Linked DNA regions of Caenorhabditis elegans. The protein of the gene in region 4 purifies or fractionates together with the protein of the main gene of each other region. This does not show direct contact. Each region holds a gene or a part of one and is shown on either strand. Other genes may lie near its edges.

Region 1 (8,000 bases), on a different chromosome or scaffold from region 4:
CCGGCAAACCGGAACATTGCCGGAATTGAAAAATTCCCGCAAACAGAAAAATTGCCGATTTGCCGGAATGGAAAATTTCCGGCAAATCGGTAATTTGCCGGAATTGAAAATTTCCGGCAAATCGGTTTTTTTTTTAAATTTTTCAGGGAATTTATTTTTTTCAGGGGAAAATTTTGCTAAAAATCCGCTATTTTGCCAATTTCCATCTAAAAATTCCAATTTTCAAGTAAAAAAGCGGGGGAAAAAACGAGAAGAATTAAAAATCAAAATTATCATTAACAAATTCCGAGTTCTCCTGAACATTAAAACCCGTAAAAACATCATCATCATCATTCTCAGGCTCCGCTTCATCACCCGAATGCTCTTGGGGCTCAAAATCGAGGTGTTGCTCCATAATCGGAGCTTCTTCCAATCCGAGAAGCATCGCCTCCAGTGGATCAGCCGGATCCAGTGGTGCCGCCTGATGATTCTGAGCATCAATTCTCTCGTAGAGATCGTCAAATTCAAAGCCCCAATGAGCATCTGGCTCCTGGTGCTCCTGGTACTCCGGCTCTTCGTCATAATTTCCCACATGGAATTGCACAGGCTCCGGCTCCTGCTGGAATTGAGAAGCTGGAGCTGGAGCCGGAGATGGTGTACTCGTCAAGGATCTTGCCGTTTCCTCGTCACGTCGAAGCTTCTTGTTCAGAATTCTCGCAGAAACCGATTGATGAATCGTCTGCTTACGGGTTTCCGCTTTCAGTTTCTCCGAGATTTTACGATCCTCTTCGATTTTTCGACGCTTCGCCAGGCTTGCCAGGCTGAAGTTGCGCTGAAAAATGAGGAAATTAGCGTCTTTTTTTTATTTATTTTATTAATCAAAAAAATATTATTTACGCGCAGCAAAATTTGGACCGAAATGAAAATAAAAAAGAAAAATTCAAGTTGTTCTGTGTAAAAAATCGGAAAAAATCAAATTTTTGTGGAAAAAAAAATTGGAAAATTCGACTTTTTTTGACTAAAAGATCGGAAAAATTCAAATATTTTGTAGGAAAATTGGCAATTTTGTAAAAAAAATCGAAAACTGCGTAATTTTAGGAAAAATCGGCATTTTTTGTATTTTTCAGCGAATTTCGAGAAAAATGTCTGAAAACAGAAACCCATAAATTTCGGAAATTAAATTTAAAATTTGATTTTTTTGAAATTGCTTTAAAGCATGCTTATGATACCACAATAACCGAATATATCATAATAAAAAAATTCAAAAAAAATTTTTTTTTCTAAATTTTATATGATTTTTGAAAATTGAAAAAATCTCAGTTTTCCCCCTAATTCCTATTTGAATTTCCGCCAATTGAACTCGTTCGTTGGAGCGCGCTTGCATTGTTTTCATTAATTTTTTAAAATTTATTTTCATTATTTCACTGATTTTCTTCATTTTTTGGGTGTTTTTAATCGGAAAATGAAAGAAACATACAGGAAAAATGCAAAATGTTTATTAAAAAGTAACTGAAAATGCCTAAAACTGTGAATAATACTTATTTCAGGCTCGTCATCGTCGGATCGTATAATTTCAGAGTTTTAGGCATTTTCAGTTACTTTTTAATAAACATTTTGCATTTTTCCCGTATGTTTCTTTCATTTTCCGATTAAAAACGCCCAAAAAATGAAGAAAATCAGTGAAATAATGAAAATAAATTTTTAAAAAATTAATGAAAATAATGCAAGCACACTCCATCGAACAAATTCAATTAGCGGAAATTCGAATCGGAATTAGGGGGAAAACTGTGATTTTTTCAATTTTCAAATATCATAAAAAATTTAGAAAATTTTTTTGCATTTGTTTTACCATGCTATTCGGTCATTATGACCCCATAGGCGCGTTTTAAAGCAATTTTTTCGAGAAAAAAAATTATTTTTTCATGTAGATTCTGCGAATTTTTGAATTTTGGCTAATTTGTGTAAAGTTTTGCAAAATCGTCGCAGGAAAATCAAATTTTTGGGTTTTTATCGAATTTTTTTGTTTTTTTATGCCAAATTTTTTAAAATTTTGCAAAATCTTCGCAGGATAATCAAATTTCTAGGTTTTTCTTCGTTTTTTCGGCCAAATTTTTCAAAAATTTCCATGATTTTCGTCATTTTTCCTCTTCTTCAATCCGTACCATAACATTGCCAACTTTCTCTCCGACAGCTTTCTTAATTTGTTGCAAATCAATTCCAACACTTTTCAGCAACTCATCCGCATTTCCACTTCTCGCCACCATTTTCTCTTCTACAGTGAAATTAATCATTCGACGTCGGGCAGTTTTCCAATCTTCACGAGTTATTGATTGTAGACAATTTTCAATGTCTTCTATCCGATAGGGAAGTCTAAAATTATCGATTTTTTGCCATTTGTTGAGCATTTCCAACCGTAAAGCCGCTCTTGAACGCTTATAGGTCATCGGAGTACGCTGGAAGTAGTGAGCATCGAAAAACTCCTGCATACGACGGAATAATTCGGATTCCTGAAAAAAAAAATCGATTTTTGGGAGATGTTAATGAAAATTTTTGCGTTTTTTTCGCAGTATTGAGCAAAAATTCGAAGGATTTCACCCAGAAAACCCAGAAAATCGCGATTTTTTTTTCTTCCAATTTTTTGATTATCGAAATTTCCGTTTAAAAATTCGAGAAAATTCGAATTATCGATTAAAAATCCAGGAAAAGTGTAATTTTCACTAAAAATTCGGGAAAATTCAAATTTCCAGTAAAAAAATCGGGAAAATTCAAATTTTCGCTCAAAAATACGGGAAACTTTGAAGAAATTCAAATTTTCATTCCAAAATTCGGCAAAACTGAAATTTTCACTAAAAAATTCGGGAAATTTCAAATTTTTGCTAAAAAAACTCGGAAAAACTCAAATTTTCACTAAAAAATTCGGGAAAATTCAAATTTTCTTTAAAAAGTTCGGGAAAAGTCAAATTTTTGCTAAAAAATCGGGAAAACGCAGATTTCCGTTGAAAACTTCGAGAAAATTCGAATTTTCAACTAAAAATCCAGGAAAATTCAAATTTTCACTAAAAAATTCGGGAAAATTCAGTCTTTTGGTAAACATTTCGAGAAAATTCAAATTTCCGTTGAAAACTTCGAGAAAATTCAAATTTCCGCTTAAAAATTCGAAAAAAACTCAACTTTTCGCTTAAAAACTCGGGTAAATTCAAATTTTCGTTAAAAAGTTCGGGAAAATTCAGATTTCCGTTGAAAACTTCGAGAAAATTCAAATTATCGATGAAAAATCCAGGAAAATTCAAGTTTTCACTAAAAAATTCGGGAAAATTCAAATTATCGATTAAAAATTTCGGAAAATTTAAATTTTCGCTTAAAAATCGGAAAAATTCAATTTTTCGCTTAAAAATTCGGGAAAATTCAGATTTCCTTTTAAAAATTCGAGAAAAATCAAATTTAGATTTAAAAATTCGGGAAAATTCAAATTTTCGTTAAAAAGTTCGGGAAAATTCAAATTTCCGTTTAAAACTTTGGGAAAGTTTAAATTTCAACTAAAAAGTCGGGAAAATTCAAATTTTCGCTAAAAAATTCGGAAATAATCAAATTTCCGTTTAAAAATCCAGGAAAATTCAAATTTCCGCTTAAAAATTCGGGAAAACTCAAATTTTTTTCAGCTCAAAAGTTCCAAATTTTCACCTCCATATTTATAATAGTATTCGACGCTTTCGAGTCGGCCGCAACTTTTTCTATCAACGAAGCCCACGATTTTCCAGAATCATTAAGCCGTCGCTTAATAGTCCTACACGGCCTGACGGCCTCTTCTTCTTCAATTTCCACATCATCAATACTCTGATTTTCAAGCTCAGCTTCTGCCGAGCAAGACGTTGAAGGGGTATTTGTATTATTAACAGTTTCGGAATGAAGACTTTCAGCTTTTAGCCTATTCTGACCACTGGATTTCTCAGAAATCGTAGTCGTCGTCGTCGTCGTCCCGTCCAACGAGTTTCTGGCGGCTCGATTTTCAGAATTTTCAGAATTTCCAGCCACTGATGAGCAACGGGAGACCGGTCGAGAGTTGGCGAACGTCAGGGGATACAGATATTGATATTTCTCGGGAAGCTTCTCAATGCGTGGCAGGGGAATGCATTTTTGACGCTTTTGGAAGGCAGTTTGGACGACATGATAGACGTGTGGAGGCATATCCATTGGGAATTGACATTTCTGCAAATAAAAAATAAATAAAAAATGATTAAAATCGGCAGTTTTAGTTTTTAAAAAAGTCGTAATTATGCACGCTCTCCTCAAAGCCGAATAATTATTAGAGCGCGCTTGCTGCGCTTCGCATTTCTGAATCCGCGGTATTTTGACTTTCCACTGAAAAAGCAGATATTTCAGATTTATCGAATTTTCTAGCTTTAAAAAAAATTTTTCTCCAGTTTTCGAACAAACCTTTTGTTAAACAGTGAAAATCGAATTTAAAATGACTAAAATGAACTTTTTTCGTCCACTGGCTGTGAAATGGTTTGAATTTGAAAAAATTAACGGGATTTTTCTTATTTTCTAAATATTTTTCTATTAAAATCGGTTTTAAAACATTTGTGACTTTTAGGGTCAAAAAAATGGGTTAAAACCGATTTTTAATAGAAAAATATTTAGAAAATAAGAAAAATCCCATTGATTTCTTCAAATTCAAACCATTTCACAACCAGTGGACGAAAAATTTCATTTTAGTCATTTTTCGATTTTCACTGTTTAACAAAAGGTTTGTTCGAAAGATGCATTTAAAAAATTTTAAAAGCTAAAAATTCGATAAATCTGAAATATCTGCTTTTTTCAGTGGAAAGTCAAATTACCGCGGATGCAGAAATGCGAAGCGCAGCAAGCGCGCTCTAATAATTCTCCGGCTTTGAGGAGAGCGTGATTATGAAATATTACTGAAAATTAATGTTTTTTAAAATCAATTTCCGGTGAACTTCCGATGATTTCGACGATTTTTCCGCCTCAAAATTACTCGATTTTCACAAAATTAACTAAAAATTGTCCGTTTTGTTGAATTTCAAGTTCAAAATTTGAAAATTCTGAGGAGACATTGCTTTAAAACATACCTATGGTACCACAATGACCAAATATCATAGTAAAATTTTTTTTAATGTTCTAAATTAAAAAAAAAATTTACTATGATATTTGGTCATTGTGGTACCATAGGCATGTTTTAAAGCAATTTCCCCACAGAATTTTCAAGTTTTGAACTTGAAATTCAATAAAACCGGAATTTTTTAGTTAATTTTGTGAAAATCCAGTGATTGAGGGGAGAAATCGTCGAAAACATCGGAAATTCACCGAAAATTGATATAAAAAACAATAATTTTCAGTTAAATTGCTATGAAAAGCTGATTTTCTCCGTTCATACGAGCCAAAACAACCTGAAATTCGATTTTTAGCTCGATTTTTGCCTGGTTTCCCAATATAAATTCAGTTTTTCATGAATTTCTACCTGAACAGCCTCACATATCCACCAAATATTATCGGATCCATTGGGTTCGGTGCTGATGAGCTCTGGCTTGAGCTGTTTCGTCTTACATCGCGGACACTTGAGCCATTCGCTTTTCATCTGAAATTAAATGAGTTTTTTGATGGAAAATTCGAAATTTTAAGGCTAGAAACGAGCACAAAATGAGCACACAAACGCTCAAACTTTGAAACTAACTGTTTTTTTTTCAATTTTCGGAAAATCGATGGGGGGACAGAAGACTGATGGATTTCGTGCGACGTCTCTCTCTCTCTTGCTCTTCTTTATCTTCTTTTGGTCTTTTCACTATGAAATTAGGTATAGTTTTTGAATGGTATCATTTGAAATGTGCGATCACATATCGGGCGGCAGAAAACCGCCTAATTCTCCTTTTCCAGTGCGGGTGGAAAGATCATCGCAAGGCGGTTTAGCCTTAGTGTGATCGCATATCATTACAAATTATCACTTACCACTCGGAGAGCAAAAGTTAATCAGTTTTTAAATCAAAAAAAAAATCAACTTACTAAGGCGGGAAGTGGTCCGGGTGGCATTATCCTTTTGAAAATTGTCTGAAAATTGCGATTGTTGCAGTGAAAGTGGCACAAAAATACGTAGAATTCGAAATTTGAGTTGAAAAATCGAAAAAATCACCGGAAAAGCTCGAAAAATCGATGAAAACGCGATAAATTGACTTAAAAATGTCTTCTTTTTTTCGAAAATGCTTCCCCGTAAATCGAATCGTGGTGAGACCCACCGCACGTGACGCATGACCGCGACGCGTCTAACGGTGAGGAAACCCAAGAAATTTCTCGATTTTTGCTGAAAAAGCCTGTTTTCGAGCGAAATAACTCAGATTTTCGGCGAAAAAAAAAACACAAATTTATTCGAGATCCAAACGTATCAAACAAGAAATTTGCTCAAAATAGCTCAAAAAAGGGAAAAATATTTGGAAAATAAATCGAAATCAAAAAAAAGTTATTTCGTCGATGTGGAGATGTAGAGCACATTGTTCCCGCGGATGAACGCATCGCCGTACTTGTTCTGAAGTTGTCCGTTGCTGTATTCTTCGGTTTGTTCGAGCGCGATGTTCATATATCTGAAAAATTAGATTTTTTCGTAATTTTTCTGGAAGAAAAATTAATTTTCAGGTGTTTTTAATCAGATTTTTTGATTTTTCCCAATCACTAACCCGTCGAGACATGCGAGAATGCCACGGTAGTCGACGCCAGAGTTGAGCTTCACCACAACCGGCTTTCCGATGACTTTCTTCAGGAATTCGGCGGGATTCTGTCGTTTGCTCATTTTCTAGAGTGCTGAAATTGAGAAAAAATATTACTTTCACGGGTTTTTAGAGTAAAAATATGTTAAAATCAAGAGAAAAATGCGTTAAAATTGCGATTTTGCTTCAAAAAAAATTATTTTCTACAGTGTCCGCAAACACCGTGACGCAAAAATGCAGACTTGCGAAAAAAATGTTTTTTTCGGATTAAATCGACTTATTTTTTGAGAATTCAACTCTAAATCTGCAATTTTCCGAGACAATTTAGAAAAAAGAAGGCTTCATTTATAGAAAACAAAAATAGTTGAAAGTGCACTGTGATCAGCCTGTGTGTGTGTGTAATTGGACAAAAAAAACTGTTTCCAGACGAAAAAATATTGAGTATAACACAAATATGAATTGATAGCTGCTTGGGAAGGGCAAAAGTGTACATATAAATGCATTGAGAAAAGGACTAGTTGAGTCGGATTTTGAAGATTTTTTGTTTGAAAGAAGCGCCAAGATTTCGTGGTATATTTGATATGAATTTGAATTTTTCTAGGTTGGAAAATTGAGAAAATTGAGAAAAAAAATGGGGAAAAAATTATAGAAAATTAAAAAAAATTGACTAATTTTCTCCTTGTCCCGAATCCTCGTCATCATCATTATAGTCCGAGCCGCATTCGTCCTCGTCCTCCTCCTCTTCATCGTCGTCATAGTCACACCCGAAATCGTCGTCTGAAAAAAATCGATATTTAATTGAAAATTTGGCAAAAATCCGGGTTTTTAACTGAAAAATCCAATTTTCTCGGGAATTTTACAACTAAATTTGCGAAAAATAGACTTTTTTTTGAGGTTTTTGAGGTCACGGGGTTCTGACCTTCCTCATTGAATTTTTCGCGCTCCATTGACAATCGCCCGCCGGAAAACGTGTGGGAAAGTCGTGTACTCCACACGGACAAATACATTTAGTTTTACAACTAAAATCGAGCCGCGGCGCGACACGCAACGCGCCGTAAATCTACCCCAGATATGGTGGCCTGGACTAGTTCGGCAAAAACTCTTCCATTTCAATTTATAAGGGAAGCCAGAAATCCGTGAATTCGTGCGATTTCTGGCAATTTACCTGAAAAATCGGCAATTTTTTTTGAAAAAAGTGTATAATTTTGCGGATATTTCGACTAAAAACTGACAATTTTTGAATTTTACCAAAAATAGCCAGTTTTAGTGCAAAAAACGCAAAATATAAGACATTTTTAGCGTAGAAGA
Region 2 (4,455 bases), on a different chromosome or scaffold from region 4:
TTTAGAAAATTTACACGCTTTTTTCAGAAAAAAATTGGAAAAAAAATTTAAAATTCCAAGAATTGTCCGAGAGGAGAAGTTACTTACAAAAAGTTACTTTTTCCAGTTGAAGAAGCGTTTTTTTCACTTTCAAAATCCTAAAAAAAAAGTATATAAAACTTTAAAATTGTGTCCGAGAGGACTTCAAAAGTGGTGGCCTAGAAAACCCAATTTTCTCTTCCAGCTTCATGCAAATCAGTCGACGACTACGAGGATCTCATCGAGGACATCAAAACGTACAGAGAAGTCGACGGATGGGCCAAAAACGAGACTTGGTGGATGGATGTTACACGAATCGCCGAAGACGAGATTCAGAAGAAGGCCGCACAGAATCGAGGTGATGTGCATGCGAGTGTGCAGACAGAAGTTCAGAATATGTTCAAGGTAGAGTGCCTGAAAATGCTGAAAAATTAACTTGAAACTTTAAAAATCCTCCGGCAAAAAGCCCAAAAATTGACCCTATTTTCCGCACAATATTTAAATTTTATTCAAATTTCAATCCCTATTCCGAGTTCTCTTCCTCAACCGCCGGCTCCTCTTCCTCCGCGATCGTCGGAATCTCATCGGCACGGCACGCCACAAAACGTGGAAGCTCATCCGGCGTCGGCTCCCGCTCGAAATCCATATTCTCCTCGTGATCCGTCACACCTCCGAGCTCCTTGTAGATTTGCTCCGTGAGCCCTGCCAACTTGACATATTCCTCCTCCTCGACAACCGAGTATTCCTTGGCGATAACCACTTCGGCAATCTTGTGGAACACCTCTGGAAGCTCCGCGAATTCCTTGCTCTTCTGGAACTCGGCCTTCTTGACTCCAGCCTCTTCGCGGCTCAGACTTCCCCATGGGAGCTCGCCGAGCACCAGGTGAACCAGCTGGTAGAACCATGTCTCGAGATCCTGCCGGGCGCCAACAAGACCATCGTCACTGCACGGAGCATAATCCAAGCAGCCAGCGTAGCTAGCAATCGGAGCTCCATCATCACCAGAAATGTTCTTGACCAAAGACGAGATGTCCGCCATGAAGAGGTGACGGCTTGCCGCATCGTAGTGGAAGCTGTTGAGATCCATGTTGCGGACGAGGTAGCCATGCTTGTGAGCACATCGGATCACCTAAAAATGAGCAGTTTATCAAGAATTTCTACAAAGTTCCGTGAAATTGACAGAAATTCTGGAGATTTCAAGCAAAATAAGCTGAAATTGAGGCTTCCATGGTAGGCAGGCGCCTGCCTGAGATCGCCATGAAGCCAGGCAGGTAGGCAGGCGTTCCAGCGCCAACACGGGAGCTCAAGCTCCGCCAGAAGCCTAGACAGCCCGTTCAAGCTTCAGAGCGATTCCAGCTAGGACCTCCAGGAGCCAACTAACATTGAGCACATCCTCGGCCAAGCGTCCAGCCGTCCCAAGCGTGAACTTGTTCCGCATCGCAAAGCACTGCTCCAACGTCGGTCCACCACGGAAGTACAGCGACATGTGCCACGCGTCGTCGGTCAGAAAGATCTTGTGAACTTGCGAGAAGAGCCGCCAGTCCTGAAGCTCGGCTTCCACCTTGCACAGGAATGCCGCCTCGGCACGAACCACATGAGTCAGCGCGTCGATCGGTGCGACGCGGACGACGAGCTCTTTTCCGTCGGCGCTGAGCCCGAGGAACGTTCCGCCGACCTTGTCGTCGTAGCCGATTCGTTCGAAGATCTGGAAATTGTGGTTTAATTTTTGGAAAATTGGGAAAATCGATGAATTTCTGAGTTTTTTTTTCACTTTTCCAAAGACTAGCAGTTTTGCGGAAAATCGCTAAAATTTCCGGCAAATCGGTAATTTGCCGAAAATCACAATTTTCCGGCAAATCGGCAAATTTCTGGAATGAAAAATTTCCGGCAAATCACCAAACCGGCAGTTTGCCGAAAATCACAATTTTCCGGCAGATCGGTAAATTTCCGGAATTGAAAATTTCCGGCAAATCACCAAACCGGCAGTTTGTCGAAAATCAAAATTTTCCGGCAGATCGGTAAATTTCCGGAATTGAAAATTTCCGGCAAATCACCAAACCGGCAGTTTGTCGAAAATCAAAATTTTCCGGCAAATCGGCAAATTGCCGGAATTGAAAGTTTCGGGCAAATCACTAAACCGGCAGTTTGCCGAAAATCACAAATTTCCGGCAAATCGGCAAATTGCCGGAATTGAAAATTTCCGGCAAATCGGCAAAAAAATTTGCCGGACGGCAATCGCCGCCCACCCCTAATCGACAGTGCCAAAAACTGCATTTTTTGGTGATTTTTTCGCTAAAAAAAAGTCCGGACAAAGACGGGAAGCCTGAGTTAAGAAGCCCAAGCCCAGCCACAACCTTCGCTGCGTGGCCGGGAAAGAGAAAACTCGGCCACCGAATTGTTCGCGGCCACGTGGCAAATGTGCTTGAAAAACGACGAAAACCTGAGAATTTTGCGGGAAATTCCTGGGTTTTTCACAAGATTTTCGAGTCATTCCTTACCTGAACTTGCCCGTCGACCACATGATCCGGCTGGTAGCACGGGATCCCGTTGATCAGCTCGTACTCGACGTTGTGCTCCTCGAAGAGCTCCGATTTTTGAGCAGCTGACGGCGGTGGAAGAGCCGGTCCGATGGCTTCTTGCTCAAGCTCCTGATGCTGCTCCATTGTGTCCATTTTTCGTCGAATTTGCCTCTTGTTGAACGTTTTGAGTGAAAACAATTTCTCAAACTGATTCGAATAGTCGAGAATTTCTGAAGGGACGTGGTTTTTTTTTTTGGAAAAAAATGGTCACGTTTGTGAAAAATTGACAAAACAATGAAAATTAAATTTAAAAAAAAAACAATTATTTTTGCTGATTTTAACGGAAAAATCTGGAATTCAAGCGATTTTACTGATTTCCAGCCAAGTTTTTGAAAAAAGAGCTGAAAATTTCCTATTTTGCTCACTTTTCAAAAAAGAAAAAAGTACAAAACCACATTTGCCGAACATTTTCGGCAAATTCGGCAAACCAATTTGCCGGAAATTTCAATTCCGCCAATTTACCAGTTTGCCGGAAGTTTCAATTCCGGCATTTCATCAATTTGCCGGTATTTTCCATTCCGCCAACTTGCCGATTTGCGGGAAATTTCAATTCCGGCATTTCATCAATTTGCCGGTATTTTCCATTCAGCCAACTGGCCGATTTGCCGGAAATTTCAATTCCGGCATTTTACCAATTTGCCGGAATTTTCGATTCCGCCATTTTACCAATTTGGCAGAAATTTCAATTCCGGCATTGTACCAATTTGCCAGAAGTTTCCATTCCGGCAATTCATCAATTTGCCGGAAATTTCAATTCCGCCAATTTACCAATTTGCCGGAATTTTCAATTCCGGCATTTTACCAATTTGCCGGAATTTTCGATTCCGGCATTTTACCAATTTGCCGGAAATTTCAATTCCGGCATTTTACCAATTTGCCGGAAATTTCAATTCCGGCATTTTACCAATTTGCCAGAAATTTCAATTCCGGCATTTTACCAATTTGCCGGAAATTTCAATTCCGGCATTTTGCCGGTTTGCCGAGTTGCCGGAAAACTTGTTTGCCGCCCACCCAAAAAATCCAAAAAAAGTACAGATTTCGAGGAAAAAAACCAAAAAAATTCAAGCTAAGAGCATGATTTTTGTCAGTTTTGTCAATTTCATTGAAAAATCAAAAAAAAAACATTTTGAAACGGCTTTTATAACTTATTTTCAGTAATTTTTTGCGGAAAATTGTCTTTTTTATCGCAATTTGAGCCGAAAACTCTGAAAAAAAAAACTCAATTTTCCCCCGAATTTTTCCAGAACAAATCAATCGATGAGCTGCTCAAACTGGAAGACCAAATGGACGCAAAAATCCGCGGAAACAGTGGAAACAAGGGTTACTGGCAGGATTTGGACGATCAGCTGAAGGTTTTTATCGCGCGGAAGCGACTCCGCGAGCATCACGGCCGTGTGCTCCGGCTCCAGTTGGCAATAATTAAGGAAGAGCAGAAAAAGGAGATTCAGCAGCAGGAGTCGGAAGAGCTCCTCCCGGTGGCTGAAGTTCCACCACAAGTGAAAATTCAGAAGGAAGAGGAAGAAGAGGAGGAGGAGGATGAGGATGATGAGAAAATATCGAAGAAAGTTCGGAGAAAGATCGATGTGCAGACGCTTGATGATCCGGAGCTCGATGAGCCGGAGAGGGAGAGAAAATGGAGAGCACTGACGGGAGATCAGTTGGATGACGTCACTCGGGAGTTGTACAGAATTGGATGTTATAGGTTTAGCATTTTTTTTTTGGCAGAAAAACCGTAAATTTTGCAAAAAAATTTCACAAAAATTGGTTTTTATTCACTGAATTTCACTGCAACTTTTTCCTCACGAGGGACGAAGAAAAGTGGTTTCTAGGCCATGGCCGAGGGGCCGACAAGTTTCAG
Region 3 (6,469 bases), on a different chromosome or scaffold from region 4:
ATCAGTGGAGAAAATTGATCAACGATGGGAACTGATAAAATAATATAATGCACCGTCCGTTTAAAGTCAAAAATTGCAAATTTTTTCATAGAGCACACACACAAATACTTCTAGAAAATGAGGAGGGAAAAAGTACATTCTAACGAAGGAATACACGAGGATTCGGGGGGAAAATCGATAAATCGATAATTTTTATGGGGAATTTATTTATTATTGATGAGTCGATTGGCCACTGTGTTCACGCTTGATGGGACGTTCTCGATTGTGGTGAATACCTGAAAAAAATTGAGTTTGAAATTGTTGGAAATGCGCTCCACTGCACTAGCTTGGGTCTCGCAGCGAAATCGCGTAAATTTGAAATTCCGGTGAAAAAAAACGGCAATTTCAGGTATTTTCTATGCTTTTTGAGTGGGAACTTGGAGAAAAGTGCGATAGAGCGCGTTTGCATTATTTTCGGATAATGTTTGAATTTCCTACAATATTTCTGGTCTCGCAGCGAAATCGTCGGAATTTTGCTAATGTCTGTAATTTTCTACGCGAAATTTTGAAAAAAAAGTGCCATGGAGTGTGCTTGCATTTTTTTTAAAAACAATTTCAGAATTTTCTCTGAATTTTGGACTAAAAATTGCGTTTTGCATTATCTTTCCTACAAAACCAGAAGTTTAAGACTTTTCGAGTCAGAAATTGGAAAAAAGTGCGATGGAGCGTACTTGCATTTGGTTAATTTTTGACGTGGAATTTTTTTTGAATTTCGCTTTTTGTGAAAAAAAGTGTTTTGCATTATTTTCAGCAATTTTCTCCAAAATTTGTGTCTTTTTGTCATATTTTTCCTAGTTTTAGGCACTTTTTTCGACGTTTAGCTCTGAAATTTGACTAAAAATGACTGAAAATTTATATTTTTCAATTTTTCAGATAGATTTTTGAAATTATGGAATTTCTTGAACGTTCGGCGCCAAATCTCCATTTTCCAGGACTTTTTTCCAACTTTCGCAGCAATTTTTCCGTGTTTCCTCTCAAAAATGCAGCCTACCGAGTCAACAGCACTGTTCCACTTTCCACCGGCCTTCAGCTGCACATCTTCGACTGTTGGGAGCTGAAAATAAGAAAAAAATTGCATTTTCAGAGAAAAAATCGATAAAACCTGCTCTGGAAAGACGACGGTGCCGGGAAGAATGTACTTTTTAAGCTTTTGATACAGTTCGCTGCCCTGAAAATGAAAATTTTCGTGGAAAAACGGGGGAAAACTAATACTTTAACATTGTTAGTCGACCAAATATCGTTATCGATTGACAGTTTGACGGCGCCGGCGACGAGTCCAACTTTAATTCCGAGTTTTGCAGTTTTCCACAAGAATCCCATGTTGCCGACCTGAAAATTCGAATATTTTGTGTGAAAAATCAGTTATTTTGCAACAAGACGTGAAAAATAAATAAAAAATCACAAATTCAAGAAGAAAAGTTCAGAAAAACTGAAAAAAAATCGGAAAAATAAAATGAACGTCGCGCGCACGAGAAATGCGCAAGCAAATCGAGACTCGCGTCAGAGCACGAGAAACGCGCCAGCCTCGTCTGCGTTTCTCTTCTCACAATGCTCTCTCTCACTGAAATAAGCTTATAAGCTTAAAAGTCTGCAAATCTTTAATTTGGCGAGGGATAATCGAAAATTTAAGCTCACAGATGCCTAGAAAATTAAATTTTAAGTAGATTATATTAAAATTTCATAAAAATAATGATAATTAACGGTATTTATTAAAGTTTTAGATTTCATCAAATTTTCAGACTATACTATAGTCTTGCAATTTTCAAAGAATTTTTCCTGCAAAAAACAAGTACAAAGCATTGATCAAATTAACACTATCAAGTTGACAGTGTCAACGTTTAATCCCCCAGCAGTATTTCCCTTAAATTGATCACTGCACTTTTCGTTATCACCACGAGCATCATAAATTTTTTTACTTATTTAAAATTCCGGTTTCTGATGCACCATGGTCAACTCGCCGGTTCCTGTCCGATTTCTGGTACTTTTTGAACTCAAAACCCCCGGAAAATTGAATTTTCACGATTTTTTTGCAGATTTTAATATGTGCCACACTGTGTTTGACCTCGATTCTTTCAAATATGAATACTTATAATTTTACAAAAATTTGTATGCAAGATGATAATAGTACTTCAACTTCAAAAGGTTTTTTTTTTAATTCGGTGGCCGAGTTTTTCCATTGGCGGCCGCCAAAATAGTTGATTTTTTCAGTGAACTATACCAAATCAGAGTCGAATTTTCTTCAATCGTGTGTGGCTATTGGAAGTCTTGCCGCCTCGATTCCATTTTCCATTTCTTTTCAACATTTGCCGCATAAACCTGTCTTCATTGTCGCCGGAATTATTTCGGGAGGTATGACGTCAATCGTGGCCGCGAAAAAAAAAAATATCGGTGGCCGAGTTTTCTGTAGTTTTTATTTGTTTCGAGAAAACTGACTAATTTCTATAGACTAATTTTATAAAAACTGTGCATTTTGTCGTCAGATCCAGTGCATGCGTATTTTCAAAGCTACAGTACCCCAAAAAGCATGCATCGAAAGCATACAAAATTTTTGAAATTGATCGTCAAATATGGTGTATTGCACAGTGGGCGTTGAATTTGACGCGCAAAACAATAATCTGATTTTTCGAAACAAAAACATGGTGCATGAAGCACAAAAAATTGTGAAAAATTCCGCGTAAGCACGTGGTGTCAGGCTGTCCCATCACGGTTTGATCTACAAAAAATGCGGGAATTATTTGCCCGAAAATATGTGACGTCAGCACGTTCTTAACCATACGAAATCAGTTGAGAACTCTGCGTCTCTTCTCCCGCATTTTTTGTAGATCTACGTAGATCAAGCCTAAATGAGACACTCTGATACCACGTGCGTAAAATACTGAATTAAGTATTTAAGAATCATATTTTACGCGCAAAATAAAACAGATTTCACGAATTTTTCTGAAATTAAAAAAAAATTATCGATTTTTCAAAAATTATTGACATTTATTGTCCGAGAGGAGTACACCAAGCATCATTAGAGCGCGTTTCCATTTTTTAAATTTTAAAATTGCGCGTCAAATATGATGTATTGCACTCAATTTTTCCAGTTTCAACAGCCCTTATCCCGTTGGCAAGTACCATTGGCTACGGATGGTTTGTGGCCGCCCGTATTTGTCAAGGAATGGCATTTTCAGCCACATTTCCCCTCGCTGGCTCAATTACAGCAAATTGGGCGACCCCATACGAGCACGGAGTATTCATTGGCCTATTAACCGGAAATACACAACTTTCAAATATATTTACAATGCCAGTTTCGGGATGGTTATGCTCTTCGTCTGGTGGATGGACGTCGGTTTACTATGTGCACGCCGGTGTATCGTTGGTCACTTTTTCGCTGTTTTTCCTATTTTTCAAGTGCTCGCCGAGTGAGCACAGTTGGGTTGGCGAGAAGGAATTGGAGAGGATTCGAGAAGGGAAATCGGGAAAGAAAGTGAGTGCAAACGCGCTCTACCGGACACAAATTATAACTAGATTTTGGAGCGGAAAAAAACCTGAAATTGTACCACGTATCATTTTTGAGAAAAACGCGCCCGAAGGACTACGGAAAGCCCAAGCCTAAGCGCACGTGGTGCCTGGCTGTGCTATTACGGTTTGATCTACCAAAAATGCGGGAATTTTTGCCCCAAAAAATGTGACGTCAGCACACTCTTAACCATGCGAAATCAGTAGAAAACTCTGCGGCTCTTCCCCCGCATTTTTTGTAGATCTACGTAGATCAAGCCGAAATGAGGCACTCTGACACCACGTGTAAGCCTAAGCCTAAGCCTAGGCCTACGCCTAAGCCTATGCCTTAGCCTATGCCTAAACCTAGGACTGAATTAGTGGGTTCCTCGGGGTACGCAATTTGTCGACAATTAAGACGTTCCCTCATTAGTATGAGAAAATCCCAAATTTTTCTAAAACTGCTAGCAAGGTAAATGGGTTTCATGTACGCAAATTTGCTTCAACTTCAAGATTTTTTACATGAGAGTAACCGAGTTTTCAAAACCTCGGCCACCACATCGCATTGCATGGCCTAACTTTTCACGGGCTTCGAATTTCCCCCATGTTTTCAAATGGAAGAGGTGGCCGTGAAAAAAGCGAACCTCGACCGGGGGTCGCGACCTGCGACAAACAGGAAAACTCAAAAAAAGTAGCGACAGTACGAAATTTCTTTGAGTTTTCCCGTTTGTCGCGAGTCGCGACCCCCGGTCGAGGTTAGCTTTATTCACGGCCACCTCTTCCATTTGAAAACATGGGGGGGGAAATTCGAAGCCCGTTACTTTTTCGTTTTGCAGGTATCCCGGCCAAAAAATCTTCCATTCCGTCATATTCTGACAAGTTTAAGCCTGTGGGCTTGTTGGATCGCATCGTTTGGAGATTTGATAACAGTTCAATTGGTATCCCAATTCAATCCGCAATATATGAAAAATTATTTGAACTATGACGTACTTTCGTCCGGTTTTTTGGCCGCCTTACCCATTATTTTTCAATTTTTTACGAAATTATCGTCGGGAATTATTAGTGATTATATTAAGTGAGTTTTTCGGGGGTTTTTCCTGGAAAAATAATTTTATAATTGTGAAAAAAATCAGTGGCCGAGTTTTTCCTCTCTACGGCCACCAAAAATCAATATTCCAGATTCATCTCAGAAACTCTGAAAACTAAAATTTTCAACACAATCGCTCTGGCCGTGGCCGCCGTTTTTTTCATCGTTCTAGCATTTATTCCACAGGAAAAACACTTGCTGGCTATTATTATAATGGTGAGTGGGTGGTGGTGGTGGCCTAGATAGGAAAACTCTTCCAGTGGGACAAGTGCGCTCAATTGATAATCCACGTTGAAAATAACCGATTATCAACATAGCGCACATACATCCATGGCCTAGTTTTCCTATTCTCTTCCATCATTCCAGATTTGCGCCGAAAGTGTGATGGGGTGCAATACGGCGGGATTCAACAAGTGTGCCACGTTGCACTCCCAGCAGTACGCCTATTTCGCAATGCAGCAGGTAAGGGGGTGGCCGAGAAAATTTTTAGGCCAACGATTTCTCTTCCAGATCATGAACATCTGGGCTTGCACGATATTCATCGAACCGTTTTTCGTCAATATGATTGTTACTGATGATACGTGAGTTTTTAGGGTATTCATGTAGGCACGCAGGCATGAGGAATGCAGGCAGGCATAGGTAAACTTAAAGGCAGGCATGTAGGTATATACGGTCTAGAAAAAAAAACACGGTAAGCGTAGGTCACTTTGGAGGCAGGCAGGAAGGCATAGGCATAGATAACCTATGTGAGCTGGACCGGCGTAGATTCCCTAAAAGACTATCGAAAAGGCAGATAGCATTAAAAGCAGGTAGATAGGCACAGGGTACATTGGGGTAGACGTAGATAGCATGTAGGCTGACCTAGGCCACCTTGAAAGCAGGCAGTTGACCTACATAGTTTGTAAGGTAGGCATAGGCCTAGAAGGCACTGACAAAAATGCAGGCAAACCAGCATAGGTCTCACTTGAAGGTAGTCAAGTAGGTAGGCAAAGGTCCCCTGCAAGGCAGACGTAGGCAGGCAGGCGTAGGTCCCCTAAAAGACAAGATTATTTTTTTCAGATTCACAGACTGGCGTAATTGTTTCCTGGCGCATGCGGGCTTACTTCTCTTCGTAAATACTATATTCTGCCTGTTTGCCGACGCCTCGCCAGCAAAATGGACCAGATTACAAGATGATGACGTGGCAATTGAGGAGGAAAAAGAAGAATATTCTGGAAGTATTGAAGATATTATTAAGTTGTAAAAGTTGTACACTACTGTATAAATTGTAAAAGTGTTCCGAAGATTTTCGGCGCCCCAATAAAATTGAATGGCTTCTAGCTGAAGCTTACCTCCTCCCTATGAAATTTATGAAAAAAAATTTGCGGACATTTTTCTATTATTATTATTACGTAAATGCCCCAATTTCTACCACAAATTCTTATAGTTTTGCAGTTTTTTGTAAAAAATTCGGAATTTTGTATTGGTGGGAGCAAGTGTCAGAGCTCCATGTGCTATTCGTGAGTTTTTTTAAAATCTTGTCTAGAAAATACTGTAATTAACATAGAAATAGGGCATTTGAAACATGGCCTAGGAAAAACTATTGGTGGCCGAGTTTTTTTCCGTAGCTGTGAAAAGTGAAAAACGAAAAACCTCGGCCACCATTCAACTTTTTGGAGCATTTTTACAATTTGGAAAATTTAAATTTTGGTGGAATTTTCTAGGCCACGCAGTAGAATTCTAGGCCACTTGACGAATTCTGGATTAAAAATTGATTATAATTTTGATTTTGCAAAAATTGAGAAAAAAAAACCAGAAAAATAATTTTTAATTTTAAAATTTACTATCAATTGAGTTGTTTTTTTTAATTTTCGAAATGAGCAA
Region 4 (4,195 bases):
TCACCACTCATACCTGTGAACTAATCACTTAGGGTGAACATAACAAATTATGGAACAAAAGGGTGAAAAATTCCTTTTTGTATTTGTATAATACCACACATAAAAAATAAGTGTAACTTTCATTTATATATTCATTCAAACTGGACGTGATATTTGTTTATTTCTTCAGGCGGATTTAAAAACTATTAACGTATTCTGGCTAAAAAATTTGCTTTTAAAAATATAAGGTTATGATAGACAGGTATATCAGGAACAGGAATAGGTATAGAGATATCTTTTTTATCTCGAATGTTTTTGCTGAACACATTCGTTTTTAATCATGCAATTTAAAACAGTATTCTGTTTGTATAACAAAGCTAGATTATCCAATTTTGCTTCCAGTGTCAGTTTATCCAATATATGCACTGTGTACTGAAAAAAATAGCAGAATAATTCAAATTTAGTAGTAAACTCTTTTCGATTAATGTATTTGTGCGAGCAATTTTTTTTTTAATTTTTCCATGAAAAGTATGATTAATGTGATATTCTACTTTATTTCGACGGAACGTAAATACAGGAACGGAGAAAAACCCGGAGGCAATTAAAACGTGGAGAAGCACAATATCTTATGATATTCGCTATACAAGAACAAAGCAACCCCTGATTGACATGTGGGTCGGTACTACGAAAGTATACACACACATTGGAATGAAATCAATGATTGTCAATTAGTTAATAACCAATTAATTAGCTGGCTCAGCAAGGAGTTGCTCAATGAATGGAGTGACAACATCTCCGTGGCTCCAAGCAGTTGGGTGGAAGCGGAATCTTGGTTGTCCATTTCTGTCAATAAGGAACTTCTCGAAGTTCCATGTGATATCAGAAGCACGAATTGGGTTGTACATCAATTCATCAGTCTTTCCAATTTTGTCAACAGTTTGTGGGCAAGACTCCTGCAATGTAAAATAAGATGAATGATTGCCGAATGGTCGAGAATGTAGAAGAGACCATTGGCAGTGTAAACTGAACACAATGCCATTCTTTTGTTGTGTTCAATTCCTACCCCCGAAACATATTATTTTGTTGTTTGACCTTGGTGTAAAGAAACGAATAAAGGAAATGACCCCCTGACTAGTTGGCGGTAATGGTCTAAAACTGACCTTGACAAACTCGTAGATTGGGTGTTGGTTGTCTCCGTTGGTGTCAAGCTTTCCATAAATGTGCAAGTTCTGGTGTGGCTTCCATCCGTTTCCAGGACGAACATACATTATTCCATTCATCAGTTCATGGTTCTCAGCTGGCTCTTGCAAATAGAATTGATTGCATGGGAAGGCAATGAGAGTAAATCCTTGGGATTGGTACTTCTCGATAAGGGGGTTGAAATCCGTGTATTGCTGGGTGTACGCTAGAATTGTTTCAATTTTCATCGTTGTTTATAAGGTTCAAATAGACATTGATAAACGACCGAATGGCGTCGAACGTGTTAAGCAATCAGCCATATGTTCCATCGGTAGAATTGTTTTGGGAAATGTTTCTATCTCTTTTTAACATTCGAAAATCGAAAAGAATCGTGATAATCTATATACTAAAAAATCCTGAGTATAAAAATGGGTGTGAGACAATTTTTTAATAAATTTTTTCTCTGAAAACATGTTCGTTATGATATAGTCTATCTGTTTCGGCCAAGTTTTGGAGAAAAGTGATATGGTTTGGGTTGCATCTTTTGCAAAAGCCGGAAATGGGATGAGATCTCATGAATCTTATAATCTTCTAAATCTTCTAAACAAAAAAAAGAGAGAGAGAGATATTATAAGACAACTCACCGCAAAAAGTAGCAACGTTGACCATGAGAAGCACCTGTCCACGGTATTGACTAAGGTCTGTGTATTCTCCTTGTAGTGTTTCTACCTAAACCAATTTATGGATAACAAAAGCTCCTTTCAAATTTCAAATTTACCTGGAAATCGTAAATAGATTGGTTTGTGTCTTTACATTGACTCCAGCGAGTCGTTTCGTCAACCATTTTCGGTCCTGGAAATGTTGATATTCGGTATTGGAAAATTGTATCCAGTAGTTCTATTTTCAAACTGCTGAGATAAAAAATTATGATGAGAAACTAGAAGCAAACCTGGCTGAGCAGCGACGAACGCAAAAAGAGCCGCAAATGTGAGCTGCCAAAGTGCCATTTTCGTATCTCTCTCGATTCTACAACTTCGAGACTGATGACTGCCACCTATCACCCATCCACTTTTATACCCATCTATACACCTTCTGTACAGTATCCATTAAGTGGAGAGTTGCTAGAGAAAAAGAGTAGGCGGAATATGGAAGTTTGTGGATGCGCAGAGATGTTGAGAAGAAGGGCGTGGTGGAGATGAAGAGAGAGAAAAGGAAAATATGACGGGAGAGTGATTGAACAAACATCTGAGATGTCTAGAGTTAGTATTTGAGCTTCCTGAAATGGATACTAGTACAGATAAATACCCAGAGAAATCGTTCCTGTTATTGTTATTTCCACCAATACTTCGGAACTGTTTTGCTTTCAGAAATTCCAAAGTAGTGAAAATATATAACAAACAAACAGAACTCAATACTTCTCAAAATCTGTTATTTGCTTTATCTTCTTCTCAATTTTTATTAGCTGTTTACTGTGAAAATTTCAAACCTAAGGAAAAGCAAATGGATCTATTTCAGTAAAATTTCACAGAAACGATTTGGAAAATAAATATCTATAGTTTTGTTTACCAACTGTTTTTTAATGCATTTTTCAAAGTTTGAAAGAAAAGAAAGATGAAGCAACAATTGATGGATGACTTATGGATATTTATCCCAAATCAATGTCAACATTAGCATTCACTCGGAATGACAAAAAATTCCGGAAAAAAGCGAGAATAATCGGGAATGATGGATAGTAATTGTAAAGAACTTATCGCTTTTTCTCTTTTTATTGTGATGACCAAATGTCCGATTTCACTTTCTTTTCCTGATCAATAATCTTTTTTTTTCTGATACATAAAAGATGAATAAGTATTGCTTTTATTGGATTGGTGGTGGCTTGTGAAGAGTTTAAAAACTTGGAACGTGTTTTAATGAATGAAACAAGAAAAAAGAACTCGATTAAACAATTTGGTTATTTCTCAATTATGTTTTGTTGAGATAGTTTGAATCACAGATTGATAGAGCTTCAATTCAAAATACTATTTACTATATGTATATATTTGTTTATTTATCTAGTTGTAAAGGTATAATCAAATCAAAGAGAAATACGATATAAATGATCTTGAGATAAAAAAGATAAAGTGACCAAATCTTGACCGAATGCAAATTACAAAAACATATATTTACGCTGGAAATTCAGAGCTCATACACTGCAATAGACAAAAATGATTTTGTGCACTTCTGGGTTTTTTGAGCCAACTTCTGTACAACAATTCGAGTTAATTAGAGATATGATTTTGAAAATATTTCAGATCGCACGCCAGCTCCACCAGTCTAGTTTGGCCGCTTTCAATGATGTATCATACATTCAACATTTGGCACACATGGCAACTGTAGTTCAAAGTTTTTGAGTCATCTGTGTTTTTTTCATAAAATTGAATGATCTATCACTGTGTTTCCATTCTCCATCCAGATGGTATTTAAAATCCTTGAACACTTCACAATTAAATTTTTGATATCCTGAAATTCGTCATAAGTTGTTTTTCTCATTTCCACATTGAATTTCTCAAATGTTTTGTTCCATTATTCTCTAATGTTTCTATTCCTCAAATTCAAATAAACCTTGGAGTGTCAATGCAAAGGGGTTAACAACTCGTCAACCCCCACCTCCCCTTTCATACTCTCGTCATAAAAAAACTGGATTCCTCTGTTAGTACTACGTGATTGTTGTGGTTACTATCCTTGGTGTAGTCACCTGTTTTTTGAGATGAAGAATAGAACAATAACAATGGCAAATAATTATGTTCGGATCTTGACCAAAGCTTTTATAATTTTCTACTTTGGATCATTTTTCGTTCTCGAATATTCAAGAACAAACTATGATGGGGAGGAAAAAAACTGAGAGTCATTAAGAACTGTTTCGGTTCTTGCCACCAATTTGACAATAGGGGCCGAAAGTAGTAACGCATAATTTCCTTTGTCTCTGACCTCTCTTAACAACCAATTTTGTGTCTTTTTTCAAGTGAAACATCTTACATACAAAAAACTTCTTTATTTG

The links.
Region 1: the proteins of gpx-5 (region 4) and Y71G12B.13 fractionate together in Caenorhabditis elegans (co-fractionation; one large-scale study listed by BioGRID). This does not show direct contact.
Region 2: the proteins of gpx-5 (region 4) and K09E4.1 fractionate together in Caenorhabditis elegans (co-fractionation; one large-scale study listed by BioGRID). This does not show direct contact.
Region 3: the proteins of gpx-5 (region 4) and W04C9.6 fractionate together in Caenorhabditis elegans (co-fractionation; one large-scale study listed by BioGRID). This does not show direct contact.

The regions. Positions count from the first base shown.
Region 1 is NC_003279.8:1,700,147-1,708,146, reverse strand, and holds the start of Y71G12B.13 (RING-type domain-containing protein), read right to left. Parts: upstream 6,043-8,000; 5' UTR 6,025-6,042; coding exon 5,998-6,024; intron 5,576-5,997; coding exon 5,459-5,575; intron 4,186-5,458; coding exon 3,661-4,185; intron 2,487-3,660; coding exon 2,392-2,486; intron 2,350-2,391; coding exon 2,142-2,349; intron 812-2,141; coding exon 257-811; 3' UTR 1-256. Other genes in the region: lsm-6 (U6 snRNA-associated Sm-like protein LSm6), read right to left, coding at 6,449-6,569, 6,663-6,775; ubc-3 (UBC core domain-containing protein), read right to left, coding at 7,360-7,469.
Region 2 is NC_003280.10:14,136,121-14,140,575, reverse strand, and holds K09E4.1 (Protein kinase domain-containing protein), read right to left. Parts: upstream 2,739-4,455; 5' UTR 2,691-2,738; coding exon 2,517-2,690; intron 1,724-2,516; coding exon 1,400-1,723; intron 1,148-1,399; coding exon 542-1,147; 3' UTR 506-541; downstream 1-505. Other genes in the region: cacn-1 (Splicing factor Cactin), read left to right, coding at 224-423, 3,842-4,299.
Region 3 is NC_003279.8:483,506-489,974, reverse strand, and holds W04C9.6 (MFS domain-containing protein), read left to right. Parts: upstream 1-1,582; 5' UTR 1,583-1,984; coding exon 1,985-2,017; intron 2,018-2,072; coding exon 2,073-2,181; intron 2,182-2,247; coding exon 2,248-2,388; intron 2,389-3,125; coding exon 3,126-3,508; intron 3,509-4,355; coding exon 4,356-4,594; intron 4,595-4,698; coding exon 4,699-4,822; intron 4,823-4,972; coding exon 4,973-5,068; intron 5,069-5,116; coding exon 5,117-5,187; intron 5,188-5,665; coding exon 5,666-5,849; 3' UTR 5,850-5,936; downstream 5,937-6,469. Other genes in the region: W04C9.2 (MICOS complex subunit MIC13), read right to left, coding at 204-275, 1,031-1,093, 1,142-1,207, 1,252-1,359; W04C9.9 (Zinc finger protein), read left to right, coding at 6,095-6,105.
Region 4 is NC_003284.9:9,582,665-9,586,859, reverse strand, and holds gpx-5 (Glutathione peroxidase), read right to left. Parts: upstream 2,193-4,195; 5' UTR 2,166-2,192; coding exon 2,108-2,165; intron 2,011-2,107; coding exon 1,937-2,010; intron 1,888-1,936; coding exon 1,803-1,887; intron 1,385-1,802; coding exon 1,140-1,384; intron 933-1,139; coding exon 723-932; 3' UTR 516-722; downstream 1-515.